Rattus norvegicus: one gene and its partner. The protein of the gene in region 2 purifies or fractionates together with the protein of the main gene of each other region. This does not show direct contact. Links are inferred from orthologs where the notes say so. Each region holds a gene or a part of one and is shown on either strand. Other genes may lie near its edges. The genes, in order: Lbr and Mad2l1bp.

Region 1 (8,969 bases), on a different chromosome or scaffold from region 2:
CCCAGTCACATCCTGTACACACACACACATACATACACACACATATACATACACACACACACACACACATTCATACACACACACACATACACACACACATACATACACACATATATATATACATACACACACATATACACACACACATATACACACATACACACATACATACACACACATACACACATACATACACATACAGATATACACATATACACATACACATATACATACACACATATACATACACACATATACACACACACACACACACACACACACACACACATCCCGCCATAGCTCCCAGCTCAGGCCTTCATACCACTGTTCCTTCTGGAAAGTTCTCCCCTAGTCCTCCACCTCCTCAACCCCTTCCTGTTGCAGAAAGGCCTTTCCCGGGCACCTAAGAGCTTCTGCCACCCTCCTCCTCCCTAACGAGCCTTCACACCTACCAGGTACTCCTCCGAACTCCAAGTCCCTCCTCTGTGGAGTGGTCACTTGAAAGGTTCCCAAAGGTACAGGTCCTCTGGTGACAAGGTTTTGTTCCTCGGACTCTATGTTTTTGGTTTTGACCTCTTCTCTTCTGGGGCGAAGGCTGTACTGTGTAGCTATATAACTGTCTTCTGTTGACAAAATGACTCTTTCCTAGTTTAAAAAAAAAAACAGTATTCAATATCTATATTTAGTGCAAAGGCTACTAACTCAACATCTCTACAGAGCTGAGAATGTATAAGAATAAATGTTAAAGGCTGGGGAGATGGCTCAGTGGTCAAGAGCACTGACTGCTCTTCCAGAGGTCCTGAGTTTGCCCAGCAACCACATGGTGGCTCACAACTATCTGTAATGGGATCTGATGCCCTCTTCTGTGTGTCTGAAGACAGCGACAGTGTACTTATATATAATAAATCTTAGGAAGTTTAAAAAAGAATAGATGTTAAATCACATACGGTCTTAAAGACAGAAGATGAACAAGTAAAATACAACAAATTCCAGTGGAGTCTGACGGAAGGACACAAAGCAAAGGGTACGGGTACCTGCTTGTTTTTAGGAGGTGTGGCGCTCTTTTCCATGTGTTCGGGCTCCCCGTTGTACACACTGACGCTGTTTGCAAACGGCTTCTAAATGGAATGTGAACCGACATAATCAGACCTGACCCAGCAAGGCATCGCAACGATAACAAGGTACGACTGGGAAAGCAGCAGACACAAGCTAAAAACCAAGAGACAAAGTCACCTAGACCTCCCTGGTCCTCAAAAGGTCAGTGCCTCAAACTTGTGGCAATCCTCCAGTCTCAACCCCTGTCTGAGCACTGGGATTACAGCTATGCAACACTATGTTTTGGAACAGGCTTCTATATTAACTGTCCTTCTTTCAAACACTTTCACACTTAATGTTTCCATAATTTCACTGTCATACTGTAACATTTCTATGAAAGGCAGGTGAGTAAAACTTGGCAAATTCGTTCACTAGCTACAAATTAAAATGAAGAAAAGACTTTCAGCGACCCTAACCAGCCCACGGTGGGAAGACTGGCTGTTTGCATTTCATGCTACATGTTGTTTACCCTTAATTATTTTCCTCCCTAGCTGTCCCTCTCGGCTCAGCCTCATAGTTTCTTACTGAGAAAAGAGAATCAATTTAGCTTGCTAGAGCTTGTTAAGGCGATGGCTGCAACAGTCTCTTCTCTCCTCTGTAGAGACTGTCAACCAACTAAAGCACTACTGAGTCAAGAAGCAAACAAAAGTCCAGCTTCAGCTTCCAGAAGTCCATCCTTCAGACCAGCCGACAATGGCAGCATTAGCTCACACTGGGTTCAAGGTCAGGCGAGCAGCAGAGCGCCCGCTATACGCCGGAGTGTACCCAGTGTCAGGGAGTGAGCCAGCAGTCAGCTCACTCTAACCCACGCTGACTACGTGCCAATGCTTCCCGAGTGGACAGAGGAGGAGGAGAGAGCACTCAACACTGTGAGGTGCATTACTGAGCTCACACGTGATGTCCACAGCTGAGGCAGCCTAAATGTGAACTGGACACACCATGCAGGTTAGACTCTGACGACAGGGGCAAGGCCACCCGAAGCTCTTCTATCAATAAAAGGGCAGTGTGAAGATGGAAGCTGAAACGGAAAGCAGTGAGCAGCATCTGCCCCTCCCCCACGTGGTAGAGAGCCACTCAAAGAAACAGCAAGTCCATCATATAAGGAAGCACAAAGTCTGAAAAAGAAGGTGACAATCTCTGACAACCGGTGGGGGGGGGGGGGGGGCTGTTACAGTCCTCAGATGGAAAGCAAGCATTCCACACGGTACTGATGGTGGCACAAGCATGCTCACCCAGTCCAGCACACGTATTACAAGCCTCTGTTGTGCACTGTCCACCTTGACCAAGCTAAGTCTAAGGAGATGACGAGATGCTGCAGAAAGCGTTTAGAACAGTGAACACCGAGAGGGAAAAACACAAGGTTGCACCACAGAACTAACTTTAATACTAAGGTATGTATGTGTCTTGAGGTTTACTGTGTAACAACAGAAAGAGGAAACTACCACATGGCACGTTATTCTCACTATTTTAACATTTCAAAGTCTAAGTGCATTACTCACCGTTTAGTTTTTAAGATTATTAGAAGCCCGGGTGCTCTGTCTCCAGAAGAGATGGCATTAAATGAGTAGAATACAAAAGCATTCTTTTTGGGGTTGGGGATTTAGCTCAGTGGTAGAGCGCTTGCCTAGGAAGCGCAAGGCCCTGGGTTCGGTCCCCAGCTCCGGAAAAAAAAGAACCAAAAAAAAAAAAAAAAAGCATTCTTTTTACTTCGCTCTAGCTAGTGTCTAAAACAGGGGCTCTCAACTTGTGGGTCACAACACCTTTGGCAAACTTCTATCCCCCAAAATACTTACATTAAGAATCATAATAGCAAAATCAGAGTTATGAAGTAGCAACAAAATAATTTTATGGTGGGGTCACCACAACATGAGGAGTTACTGTAAAGGGGCACAGCATTAGGAAGGTTGAGAACAAATGATTAAAATATTTATCCAGGGGTTGGGGATTTAGCTCAGCGGTAGAGCGCTTGCCTAGCAAGCGCAAGGCCCTGGGTTCGGTCCCCAGCTCCGAAAAAAAGAAAAAAAAAAAAATTTATCCATCAACTGTGGTAGCTTACCCTATGATCTCAGAACTGAACAAATGGAGACAGGGGGATTTTTATCAAGTTCTTGGCCAGCCTAGGCTACCCAGTCTTAGAAAAGAAAAAAGAAAGAAAAAGAAAGTAAAAAAACTATAATACTACATAAGATGAAATACTTTTTGGCTAGGTCCCCTGGCTCCACCCACGTCTGCATGGACCACCAAAGTCATTCCACGGGAAAGATTTTTAAAGAGTGAACGTGACCAAGCAGAAGGCTGCCAACTGAGAGAGCAAGAATGTCTAACAGAGTAGGTGTCTCCTCACTTCATAGCCTACAAGCTACATCTGTTTCAATGTAAGCATCTTTTAAAGACCACACACACTATCAGGGCTCCTGGTCACATCACTGAAGCAGCTAAGGTAGCTTCAGGTCGAAATGCTTGCCTTCAAGCCTAATGATCTGAGTTCAATCCCTTGAACGCACATGAGTGGAAAGAGAGAACACACTCCATAAAACTGTCCTCTCACCTGCACAGGTGTGGCTACACACATACCAAACGTATACACACTAAAAATAAAAATTAAAGATAAACAATTTTTCTTGGATATTCAAAGAAACTATACTTTGTATTTCAAATACTTGCTAACAAAAGTGCAAATAATACGAATAAATGTGTATAAAGGGAAGCCAGTGCGGGGCGGACAGATGGAACAAGTACCAGCACGAGCGGAGTCAATTTAACTTGCAAAATCTCCCTCCTCATTTCCTTTTCCTTAGCGTCAGCCTGGTAGGAAGCAGAGACTGATCTTCTGGAACCTTTGGGTGCCCGGCCCGGGGATCGGGAGCGTGATCGGGAGCGGCTGCGGCTGCTGCGGCGTCTTGAAGGAGAGCTGGAAGTTGAGCCACTCTTTCTCTGCTTAAAGGACTTTAAAGGCTAGAAAGGGAAAAGGCCACAGAGATGTTATCAGAACACTAATGTCCAGCGGCAGCGCTGAGCTGTCAGTCAGGGCCACTATCTGTTGCCATGCACTCTAAACTGAGAACGGAGCACACAGGACCAGTGGAATGCTACAGCAGCCGGGCTCCTAGGAAAGACAGCGCTTCCTTCCCCTGCTCTGCCAACTTCAAAGGTACTTCCCTGGAATCAGTGACTACATCACACACATTATCAGAACACCAGCAACACCAGAAAGGCTTGGAACTGATACTGTCCAAAACTGACATGGTGAGACAAGATAGTTAGCACCCAACCAATTTTTCAAAAAGCAGCCCTACAGAGTCACTCTGAAACAAACTGGAGCTCTTAAAAACAGACAAGTTAAGAGGTTGGGGATTTAACTCAGTGGTAGAGCGCTTGCCTAGGAAGCGCAAGGCCCTGGGTTCGGTCCCCAGCTCTGGAAAAAAAATAAATAAATAAAATAAAAAATAAATTCCTTGGTCAGTGGCTACTCTGCCCTAATCCACTGCAAACCATTCCTTCCTTGTTTCCAGGGGCAGAGACCTGAGTCAGGTAAACCCCTGGACCTCTGTCCAGGCACTGTTTTGTGTATGTGGCCCTCAGCTAAGGATGGCATTGACACTCTCAAGTGACCGCTAAAAACATCAAGAGAGAAGTCATATTCCATATGGCTGGAGCTGCCCCCTCAACTACAGAACCCCATGAGCCACAAAGTCTAAAGCTAAAACTAGAACACAGAGTGCTCATCCGCAGACCATGCATGGGTCCAAACTATTGGTTGATGATGGGCTGCAAGGTCCAAAACTGCTAAGCTCTAAGTAGACGGTTTTAGAGCATTCTGACTAAGCAATTTTATACCTAGAGAATCTAACAAACATTGCAGCTTTGCTTATCCTTTATCATAGAAACTAATTTTTATGCATTTTATGTATTTGTATACCATAGGTCAATCTTCTAAAACCCATGCCATCAACAGACAGGCTGGGAAGGAGAAGCTGTGAGCTGGCCTCAGACCTAGTGTCACTCCCTCTGATTCCATCACCAGTGTTAAGTAGAAACCCATGTCCTGCCAGGCGATGGCGCTCGCCTTTGATCCCAGCACTGGGGAGGCAGAGGCAGGCTGATCTCTTGAGTGTGAGGCCAGCCTGGTCTACAGAGTGAGCTCCAGGACACCAGAGCTACACACAGGAAACTTGTCTTGAAAAAGGGGAGGGGAGACAGAAGGAGGGGGGAGAGGAAGAGGAAGGGGAGGAGGAAGAGGAAGAGGAAGAGGAAGAGGAGGAGGAAGAGGAAGAGGAGGAGGAGGAGGAAGAGGAAGAGGAGGAAGAAACTCAAGCCTATTAACCCTACACCACCCCCCAGCTTGTCTCCAGCTGGTACTTCGCCCTGCCAGCATCACCCCACAGCCTTTGGTATGGTGCCAGCCCTATGGTTTGCCATCTGTCCTAGCACTCAGCCCAGAGAAAACAGGGCTAAAAACCATCCCTAAAAGGGCTGGAGAGATGGCTCAGCGGTTAAGAGCACTGACTGCTCTTCCAGAGATCCTGAGTTCAATTCCCAGCAACCACATGGTAGCTCACAACCATCTATAATGACATCTGATGGCCTCTTCTGGTGTGTCTGAAGACAGTGACAGTGTACTCACATAGCTTAAAATAGCTTAAATAAATAGCTTAAAATAAATAAAAAATCTTTAAAAAAAAAACAAAAGTCCATAAAAACCAGGGTCCTTCCGGGTCTAACACACCCACAGCAAACACCTCACAGGATGATCAGACCCAATGGCATGAGCTTTGGGGATCTGTGCCCACACACATTCGCATAATCCCAGAACCAAGAACAGCATGTGCCCCAGAGCCTCAAGGCAGGAATCTAGCATGGGCCTCCAGTTCTTCCCACTCACTGCAAGACCAAGGCAGACACACTCACCTTGATGTCACTCTCCTTCAGCTCCAGCTCGGTGCCATCTTTGTATTTTACGGTGTAGACCTGGGACTTGTTGTCATGGCTCAGAATCTCTACCTCATAATACAGGGAGCTCCCAGGCCACCGGCCTCTGACCACTTCGCCCTCAGCAAACTTCCGACTTGGCATTTTTCAAAATCAGTCTGAACGATTTTAAAGAAAAAAATTCAGTCAATAATTATTACTTACTTTTCTGGACTAGATTGTTCACTGCTGGTCACTGAAACAACTTTCTAGTTGGTTTTACTTTGAGGGCCAGGAAGCCAAGGAAGAAGCGCGGCACCTTAGTTTATAGCTGGCAGAACCTGAGCTTGAGGTAATGCTTGTCAAAGCTCACAAGCACACGTGAGGGAGTAACAGAGCAACACAAATCCCACGTGAGCTCCGTTTCACTCCATTCGGAACCACTTTGGAGGAGACACTGGAGCACAGAAAATGGCACTGAGGATTAACTCTGACAAGGTCACAAGCATCAAACCTTACGACTTAGAATGCTACCCACCTACGATAACCAAAACTCAGGGCACATCTCAAAAAGGACACATTTTGTTTTTGGTTCTTTTTCTCGGAGCTGGGGACCAAACCCAGGGCCTTGTGCTTCCTAGGCAAGCGCTCTACCACTGAGCTAAATCCCCAACCCCAAAAGGACACATTTTTATTTGTAGATCTACATGTTATTTCACCAAAAGCTTTAAAAATCATTAGATTATATTTTTAGCAAGCTACCTTACTGGAAAATAATAAAACTATGAAACAAACTGGAAAAATTAAAAATGCACATTAGCATTACTATAACCCACCAACAGGAAGAGCTTCAAATCTATAAAGAATAACATATTTGAGGTTTACCTCATACAGTTTGCACTCTGAGTCAACTCCCAAGTGCATACCAGTTAAGGCTGCCAGCTACCCACCTAAGCTCTGAGCTAACCTGTGCACCTCTCAAGCCTACAGCTGACACCTACCCCAACTGCAACATTCTTTGCCACTGTTTGAAAACATGAAACCTTCAACACCTCAAGAAACCACTATTTTCAAGAATGATCATCTACATGAGGTAATACAAAATGATGGCTGTGCTAAGAGCTCCCAGGTGATTAGCAGATTCACAGGATAGATAAAGCCAGTGGACTGACACCAGTGATAAGCAAGCAGCAGACAGAAAGACTCCTTCAGCTAAAGATGCCACCTGCCAAGCAGGTCTCTATACATCACCCATGCACGCAAGACACACTCCTGCCAAGACCTGGTTATGCAACCCAACAGGAACACGAAAGACTCTTGCAGACTGGAATTAAAGAGAAAGTTGCATTACCTACCCCTCCCAAGCCAAGTCTTTCTAAACGCGTTTCTTCACTGTTAATCGCCTGAGACTTCACAAGCTTCACTTGTTTAGACAGACAACAGATGAAAGAAAGTGTTTATCTGGTGATGAGAGGTCCATTACAGAGCCTGCCTCAGTCTCCCTAACTTGTGAGATAGCATCTCTTGGGTAATGAGTATGTTTGGAAGCTTTAGGAATGAAGTTAGACTGGCAGAGGTGTACATGAGGACCTTGGGCAGCAGAAGGGCAGTGGCCCACATCTGTACGAGGAGGGGCGCAAAAAAGGAAGGTGACAACAGAAAGCTCTGTCTATTTCAACACTTAGTTCCAAGTTGCCCAGGACAAAGAGGAAGGAAACGTGCTGGGCTTCCTTCTCTGATTCCCCGCCCCTCTTCCGCCCCAGACCACCCCAAATCAATTAGGTTCTCCTACCCAGGTCTTCCAAAGTTGGAGAAAAGACCACAATGTCTTTCTATATGAAGATGCCAGCAGGATCTCAAACAAAGCCTCGAAACTTGAAATATGAGCACTTTGGGGTTTGGGGACCACCTGCATCTTTAAAAGGCCCTGGAACAGACTTATTCTGAACCATCTGAAGCATCCAATCACTGTCATTCATCCCATCCAGTACGGTCCAGGCCCTCTCCTGTTTAGCTTCAGAGATATGATGCAATCTAGAAGATTAAGATGGTATGGCCCTAGTCTCACTTATCTATTGCATCTCGAAGACACCACATTAACTACTGAGTCCAACAAGGATCACACACACACACACACACACACACACACACACACACAAAACCTATTACCTATTTACCTATTAAATACTTGGGAATACATAAATCGAGGCACCCAGTAGATATTTGAGCCTCAACTTTTCAAAAATGTGTGTATAATGTGTAAGATATGAAATTTGATCCCCAGAAAAAAAAAAGGGAAGGAATAATTAAGAACCGGGACTTGGCTGGGCCTGGCGGCTTTAATCCCACTATTCACAAGGCAGAGGAAGAGATCTCTTTGAGTTGAAGGTCTGCATAGTCTACTGTGTTCCAGGACAATAAGTGCTGTGCAGAGATCTTGTCTCAAAACAAAAAAAAAAAAAACAAGAACTGACACTTGATGGTAATATTTTACATGGCAGGTGGAGAATGCCACTTTGCACAAGATCCACATAGTCAGTGGAAGCTATGGAAGTAACAGCATCCCAAAATACAGCACAGCAGGAAATAATTATACTGGATAAGACAAGGGGGCTCCAGACGTGCGCATGTGTTCTTACGCACCCAAGTAACAAGCCAAGAGGCGCACACAGGCTTCCCTAAACAGGTGTTTGCAAAGAAAAGTTGCTTACTAAACACTGTACCCTCAACCACACATAGCAGGAATTCAAGGATTCCCCGGCTTTTTTTTTTTTTTTTTTTTTTTTTCTGTTAAGCCAGATTCTTGCTAACCCGAATGTCACTTGGCACTGGACTCCAAATAGTATGGTACAATATATCGCTATGTATCAATATGAAGATTTCTTTCTACTACTTTGCTCACGAGCCATGCAAGGGTCTGTAATCGCTTCCCCAAACTCAATGTGGCAGAAAGAGAAAGCTCAAAT
Region 2 (7,495 bases):
CTCTGCAAAGCATTGTCAGACACAAAACAAGCAAGTCTGGCTGACAGGACACATTTCAGGTGATGTCAACACAGAACACAGCCCAAACACTTGTTTTCACAGATCCTGGATTTGCCTATCAGTGATGAGTTCCACAAGGAAGGCGGGGTCTGGAAGCTCTGTAATGACACCCATTAGGGACAGAGCAAATCCTGGCTATTTCAGAGAAAAACCACACTCATGTTAGCACACAGAGGAGAGCAGTTTTTGCAGGTGGTGAACAGGTTTCAATTCATGCTTCCCCACTTAAGCCAGTGAGTCTCAACCCTCCTGATACTGCGGCAGTTCCTCATGGAGTGGTGACCCCCAACCATAAAATTACTCCATTGCTACTTCACAACTGTAGTTTTGCTACTGTTATGAATCATAACGTAAATGTGCTTTACACACTTAGCCTTAGGGGACCCCTGTGAAAGGGTTGTTTGACCCACAAGAACTTCCAACGTAAGCAAACCAACCTCACCAAGCCTTACCTTTATAATGGGGTAGTAATATATACATATATGTTAGCCTTAAATAATGTGTATGAGTGCCTTTTTTTGAGGCAGGGTTTCTATGTAGTCCTGGCTGTCCTTACTGTGAACTAAGCTGGCCTTGAACTCACAGAGATCCGCCTGTCTGCCTCCAAAGTGCTAGGATTAAAGGCATGCACTAGCCCACCCAGCCTTGTTTAGTACTTCACACAGTATTATAGGTACAGGGAGCACGGGAGCAGATATACAAGAGACCAGCCTGGTGTCACAAAAAATGGGTTGTAGAAATAGCCTCCATCGTGGGCATTGCAGAGGGATGAGCTAAAGTACGTAGACTTGAGATACAAGGATGCCTGTACACTCTGAAAGGACTTGAAGGTGGGAAGGGTCATGGGGGCGGGCGGGGGAGTAGTCGTGGGAGTCTGGGATGAATATGATCAAAATACATTATATGCATATATGAATTTTTCAGAACAAAAGATATTCTCAGGAGAAATAGTAAACTGGTTTTAAAAGGGAGGTGAAATAATCCTCACTCAGGCAATCACTGACCCTAAATAACAGCCATGAGGGGGACCTGCCACAGGCTTCCCAACCCCCAGGAGTGGTCTTGCAGCTTCTAAAACATTTGAAAGAAACAAAGTAAAAACTTGGCCTCATAGCCTGCAAGTCTAGCAGAGGCAGAGGATCAGGAGTCATTCAATGCTACATAGCCAAGTAACAGGAAACTGTCTCCAGAAGAATTTTAAGAAACAAAATAAAACCTAGTTAGTCTACGTATGTGTTACAGTGTTTCAACCATTTCAGACATCTCACTCTAACAACCTTGCATATACCCTACGGACTTTAAGCCAGCGGCTCCCTCAGCAGGGTGGGGTTTTGGTCTCAATTTGTTGCCAGGAGCTGCCTTCAAGAGTAATGTCAGGTGCCATCAGGCAGTGGAGAGAGGTTGGACAAAAATTCCAGGAGGAACGGGACACAGCAAGGAAGTCCTCAGGATCTGGGGGTGATCTGAGGAGCCTGAGCCCACAGTTCCATCTGGCTTTGAGAAGAGCCTCTTAGTTTTCTTTTTTTCCGCAAACTCCTTGTCCTCTGAGATTTGTTTCTCAGATCCGAAGAGCAGAATTGATCACAGAACCACTGAGACTTCACAACAGCTAGCAGAGGCTACAGGGCCTTGCAGGGCCTTGCAGGCCTCGGCTTCTGGTGCTGGGAGTGTGGCACACGCTAAGCCAATCAATGGTGACTTTAGAGCCTGGATATGGCCACAGCATTTGGTCCTGACTGACCACAATGGTTAGGACTCCTGCTCACCACGTTTTGAGTAGGGCTGTGGCTCCTGCTCTCTGAGCTAGAACCATCTTTGGCCAAGGTAGAGGGCTTGTGACTCCAGGCTGGCTTCCTGTGAGCTACCACCACTGCTCCTCCCCACATACCTGCTGCTTAGAGTCTACCACCGAGCAGGCAGTTCTCCAAGACCCTGAGCCCTCCCAGTGAGTGGTCCTTTAACAGAATTTTTACCTGCAGCAAAAGTGACCTCTGCTTTGAACATACAGAAAGTCTGGATTCCAATTCCAGGACCAAGTAAACCAGGTAGGAAGCTTATGCCAAGGACCCCAGCATTCAGGAAGTAGAGGAAAGAGAAGCAGAGGGTCAAGGTTAACCTCTCCTACGCAAGAGGCCTCAAAAAAAAGCAAGACAGCAGCAGCAGCAGCAACAATCTTTGAGCCTCAAGGCCAAAAGTCTAAATCAAAAGCGTTAAAAAATTTTAATACTGATCTATTCATCTCATCATTCAAATTCATGAGTCACATCCATATTATGATTCTGGCACCAGTTCTGAAAACGCACAGCATAAAGCGGAGAAAGACCACGTCCATTAGAGGATCTACCCACACAGCCTTGCTTTCTACTCCCAAACAGAACCACCTGGCACAGGGGCTTCTGGGAGTCAATCATCAATTCGAGGGCTTTGCTTGATGACGATTCTCACAGTCAGAACCACACACCAGGAAATCTGGGGAGAGGCACACAGCCAGGAAAGAGCTTTCCTCCCTCAGCGGAGAGATCAGTGCCTTGGCACGAGATGGGGAGAGGATTCAGCCAATGTCCTTATACATTCACTCATGGAAACCTTTAAGTGTCACTGGTGCCTGGAACCAAATGTAATCCTCGGAAGCCATGGCTGGGACGGAAGGTCTACCACAGGACAGTGTCACGGTGAGTTTGTGACCCCGGCTGGGCACCCGGTAGTTTAATTTGGGTCGAAACCAATCTTCTCCACAGTCACGGTGGCCCTGTACCATGACAATGGTACCCATGAGTGGGGGAGCCTGCAGCTCACTAAATGCATCCGCCAAGAAGATGGCTCTGAAGAGATGACGCAAGCACGCTGCTGTGTTCAGGCCCTGGTCCACACTGAACGGGGCCAGCCTGGACAGGTCGAGTTCATAGAATTCTTTGGGGCTGAGGGCATTGCCTCCAAGAAGGATCAACACTTGTGGCACTAGTGTTCGGGCAAAGAAGTCTCGTAGGTGACTGAGGACACTCTCCAGTTCCGCCAGAGCCTGCTGACACTTCCTGTTACTCGCCTCAGTGGTGAGCCGAGGTTTCTTCCTTGCTGTGTCCTCTGCCTGTAAAGACAGAGAATGATGGACCCAAAGAACATGGTAGACAGGAGTGGGTGGCCTTTGAAGGAACGTCATGGATATGTGCAGAAAAACTGACCAATCGAACTGCTGATTTGGATTTCCTGAGACAGCATTAAGTTAAGGAAAATCTAATAACCACTGTACAAACTATGATCCTCCTAAGCCTTTGACTAGCAAAGACAGTATTGAAAGCTGGAGACCACTAAAATATAAGAGACTAGTCAGAGGGCAGTGAGAGGGCTCAGCAAATTTAGGGGCTTGCGGCACAAGCCTGGCAACCTGAATCTGATCCCCAGAACTCAAGTAAAGACAGGAAAAAAATGACTCCACAAAATTATCCTTTGACCACCACGTGCATACTGTGGCACATATACGCAAACGTTTGTGTGTATGCATGGGTGTGCGCATGCACTCACAAAGCAATAAAACGAAGAAGCAATTTTGTTGTTGTTGTTGTTGTACTGGGAGTGTAAAAGAATTTTTTGGTTTAATAACTGAACATGACGATTACACCACATGGTTATTAAGTCTGGTGAGATGTGGTTGGGGATTTAGCTCAGTGGTAGAGCACTTGCCTAGCAAGCGCAAGGCCCTGGGTTCGGTCCTCACTCCAAAAAAAAAAAAAAAAGTCTGGAGAGATGGTTCAGTAAAAGCATTTGTTCTGCAAACACAAAGATCTGAGTTTAAATCCTCAAGACCCAGTCACATCCAGCACTGTGTGGCGGAGACATCCCGAGAGCTTGTGGGCCAGCCAGCCTAAGTGTTGAGCTTCTGATTCAGTGAGACCCTGTCTCAGGCAATGAGGTGGAAAACAGTACCTAGCACCATCACCACCCCTGCACCCACAAATGCACGCACCCATGAATGCACGCACCCACGAATGCACAAACCCACTCACTCAATTACACACAGTTACTAGTACCTGCTCCCTCCTAAAATACTGTGTACAGAAATTCAGTAAGGGAAGGAGGAAATAATACAGGATATAGGCCAGAAGGCAAGAAGCTTGAGAAGAGTCCACACTGCAGAACCCTAGGCAGTAGAGACACTGCAGAAGGCATAGGGGCAGTACTGAACACAAACCTGTGTGAGGAATTCTCAAGGGACAGTTTCTCTCTCTCTCTCTCTCTCTCTCTCTCTCTCTCTCTCTCCCTTGTTAAGACAGGGTCTCCCTGTGTACCTCAGCTGTCCTGGAACTGCCAGTGAAGACCAGGATGGTCTAGAACTCAGAGAGAGGTCTGTCTGCCTGCCTCTCTCTCGACTGCTGGGGTTAGAGCACCACACCTGGCCCTCGGTGAGTTCTCCAAGGAGATCTCCTTATGGTATAATTACCTTATAAGGCTCAGGCATCAGACAACAGTTTATTCTATTTACCAGATAGTAAAACATTCCAACATAAAACAACCAACCACGAAAGCCGAAAGACACAAAGGAAAAGGCTTGTAGGAGACACTTGGAGGAGCAAGAGGAAAGTGGGAAGGATCCTTAAAAAAAAAAAAAAAAATAGAATTTCATGGTCCTGAAGGGCATGATAGCTATAATCCCAGCCCCAGGGCTGAGGTGGGAGGAATACTGAAAATCACAAGCTAATCGGACCAGGAGATGGCTCATGCACGCGGGAGGCAGAGGCAGGTCGATCTGTCTCTGAGTTTGAGGCCAGCCTGGTTTATATAGAGTGAGCTCCAGGACAATGAAGGTAACACAAAAAAACCCTGTCTTAATAGAAGAAGGAGAGGAGAGCGAAAGGGAGGGGAGGGGGAGGGGAGGGGGAGAGGAGATGGGAGGGGGAGAGGAGATGGGAGGGGGAGAGGAGATGGGAGAGGAGATGGGAGGGGGAGGGGAGGGGGAGGGAAGGGGAGGGGAGGGGGAGAAGAGAAGAAGAAAGGAGAGGAGGAGGAGGAAGGAAAGAAAGAGAAGATGAAGAAAATCATTAGAATCTGAAACCTAGAAATTCTTCCAAAACACACTAAAACAAAACCAGAAAGAGAGGTAAAATGTGGTAAGAAAAAGAACTTCAAATGTAAAGAGCTGGTTCAGGTCTGGGGATGTAGCTCAGTAACATAGCATTGTAGCATGTGAGAGGCCTTGGAGAAGGGAGGGGAGAGGGAGAAGCTAGAGGGAAGGAGGTGGAGATATGGAGAGGGACAGGGAGAGGGAAAAAAGGAGGGAGGTTGGGAGAGAGGGAAAGAGAGACAAAAAGAGGCAGACGGAGACCATCTAGTCTAAGGAAAGGCCAGATGTGGTGAAGCACACTTGTGACCTCAGAAGTCACTGGGGAAGTTGAGGTAGCCAGGTTTCAGAGACCAGCCTAAACTACATAGTGAAATCCTATTCCCGATAAAAAATTAAAGAACAAATCCATAATATCCGTATACACCACATAATAGGAAGAATCTCAGAAAAAGAACAAGAGGGGTTGGGGATTTAGCTCAGTGGTAGAGCGCTTGCCTAGGAAGCGCAAGGCCCTGGGTTCGGTCCCCAGCTCCGGAAAAAAAAAAAAGAAAAAAGAAAAAGAACAAGCGAAAAAAGTGAGAGACCCAGAGACCCAAGTGCAGAGAAAATGAGGCAAGGAAGCCTTTGCAAAAGCCTAGACTTCCACGGAGGCTGAGACGTCTTAGGTCACTTTTCTAGTTGCCCACCATCTAAGGGCCCATAAGTCTTCCGAATTTTCTCAGGAAGCCTGTACATACCTGGGGAGAAGATTTCTGGTAGAAGTGCTTCAGCTGTTCATAGGGCAAAGGGAGCTGTTGGCGTTGGTACATGATATGCTTTAGAAGTTCACAAGTGAACTGGCAGCAGCCTTCCTGGCTCACGGGTCCAGGAAACACCACCGGTACCAGGTCTCTTGGGCAAAAGGGCTCCACAGAATTGGAAGGTTCCTGGACTGGCGGGATGACGGTCTCAAGATCTACCCCGGGTGCACGAGTTTCTTCCGGTTTCTCAGTCCAATCCAAATCTAGTCCATAAATGAAAAAGGTAAAGAAAGGAGGGGCGATGTCACAATAAGCGTTAGGTTTCTTGTTCCCAGGGGCTCAGTCAGCAGACACTCCCATAAGTGACAGGAAACCTGATCCGGGCTGGGGGCGATTTAAATGACATCAGGGCCAGAAGAGGGACTTTAGGGAGGCTTTGCTCCGAGTTGGGGCCAGGACACCCAAAGGAACAGAACAGAAGAAAAATTCCACCCAGGGCAACTCGCAGAGACAGGGAGGACTGGGACACCGGGAACCACTGGGATAGGAAGGAACGCCGGAGGAAATGTCAACCACTAAATGTCTCTGGGGAGGTAGCAGCAGGGAAGAAGCGAGCTCCCAAGTAATGGATCCCACGTCTTACTTGGGGCAGCAGCAGGGGACAGCTCCGACCGATCCTCCTGCCCGGATGCGGCCATCGTGACTGCCAGCTTAGTAGTCCTGCAGTTAAAATAGACGCCGCGCAAAGGATCATGGGAAGCTTAAACTCCACTTCCGGCTCCTAGCAGCCGGAAGGGACTCAGCACGGCCGCTGAATGGTGAAGCTTGGACTGAGAAGACTTGAGCCACACCCAGGCCAGGGAGCGCTTGGCTCATCCCTCTAGGGCTGGGTCTGCCTTTCTAAGGACGCATCCATTCACTCCAGTTCCCTGAACACCTCACTCTCCCGGCGTCTGCTTCATTCCAGGGCCCTGTCCTAGGTGCTGGAGACGCAGCCGCTGTCAAGCCACTCTCCAGCCCTGTTCTTAAGAGGTTCATGCCTGGCCTGGGGCACCTGATCCAAAGCGGGTAGGGCGGGGTTAGGTGCCCGAAAGGGTGGTTTCCGGAATGTATGTACTGTGACTGGGTAAAAAGGATAATCCTAGTGAGATCTTGAGAGATACACTCTCTTTTCAAAGACTCAAAGAAGTTTATACTGAGAATGCTAGGCTGACTCCGTGGGAGAATTCAAATAGGCAGTTCAGGAGAGTATGCCTAAGAACCGGGCAGGTTCAAGCAAGTCAATTACTAGGGGGAAAAAAAATCCCCGACTTAAGGCAGCTGGTCAAAATTGCCCTGCCATCAGAAGCTGCCCGGCCACCTAGTCAGCAGCAGTTTCCAGACTTCTTAGCAACAGGTTCCACACTTCCCCAGCAATAGTTTCCAGACCCCCAGACCCCAGCCCCAGCCCCAGCAATGGTTCAGGAATGTCCTTAGAGATAGAGCTGAGATTAAGTGAGCGAGATAGAGGTCACTTACCCCTCCCCGGAATTCCCCTAAGATGCTTTAAATCCACCTGTGAGCTCCCTTCGGGTCTTTCTATCTCGGTAATGGGAGACCCCAGCAGAAAAAAACCCACTTTGTGTTTACATACTATTTG

Evidence for each region.
Region 1: the proteins of Mad2l1bp (region 2) and Lbr purify together in Homo sapiens (co-immunoprecipitation; 3 studies listed by BioGRID and IntAct, counting the BioPlex papers as one, with this or other methods). This does not show direct contact. The link is inferred for Rattus norvegicus from reciprocal best matches to the Homo sapiens genes MAD2L1BP and LBR.

What each region holds. Positions count from the first base shown.
Region 1 is NC_086031.1:96,085,843-96,094,811, forward strand, and holds part of Lbr (delta(14)-sterol reductase LBR), read right to left. Parts: intron 6,183-8,969; 5' UTR 6,169-6,182; coding exon 6,004-6,168; intron 4,051-6,003; coding exon 3,835-4,050; intron 1,119-3,834; coding exon 1,035-1,118; intron 646-1,034; coding exon 453-645; intron 1-452. UniProt on the Homo sapiens protein: Catalyzes the reduction of the C14-unsaturated bond of lanosterol, as part of the metabolic pathway leading to cholesterol biosynthesis.
Region 2 is NC_086027.1:22,328,764-22,336,258, reverse strand, and holds Mad2l1bp (MAD2L1-binding protein), read right to left. Parts: upstream 6,561-7,495; 5' UTR 6,555-6,560; coding exon 6,500-6,554; intron 6,120-6,499; coding exon 5,854-6,119; intron 3,146-5,853; coding exon 2,633-3,145; 3' UTR 2,235-2,632; downstream 1-2,234. UniProt on the Homo sapiens protein: May function to silence the spindle checkpoint and allow mitosis to proceed through anaphase by binding MAD2L1 after it has become dissociated from the MAD2L1-CDC20 complex.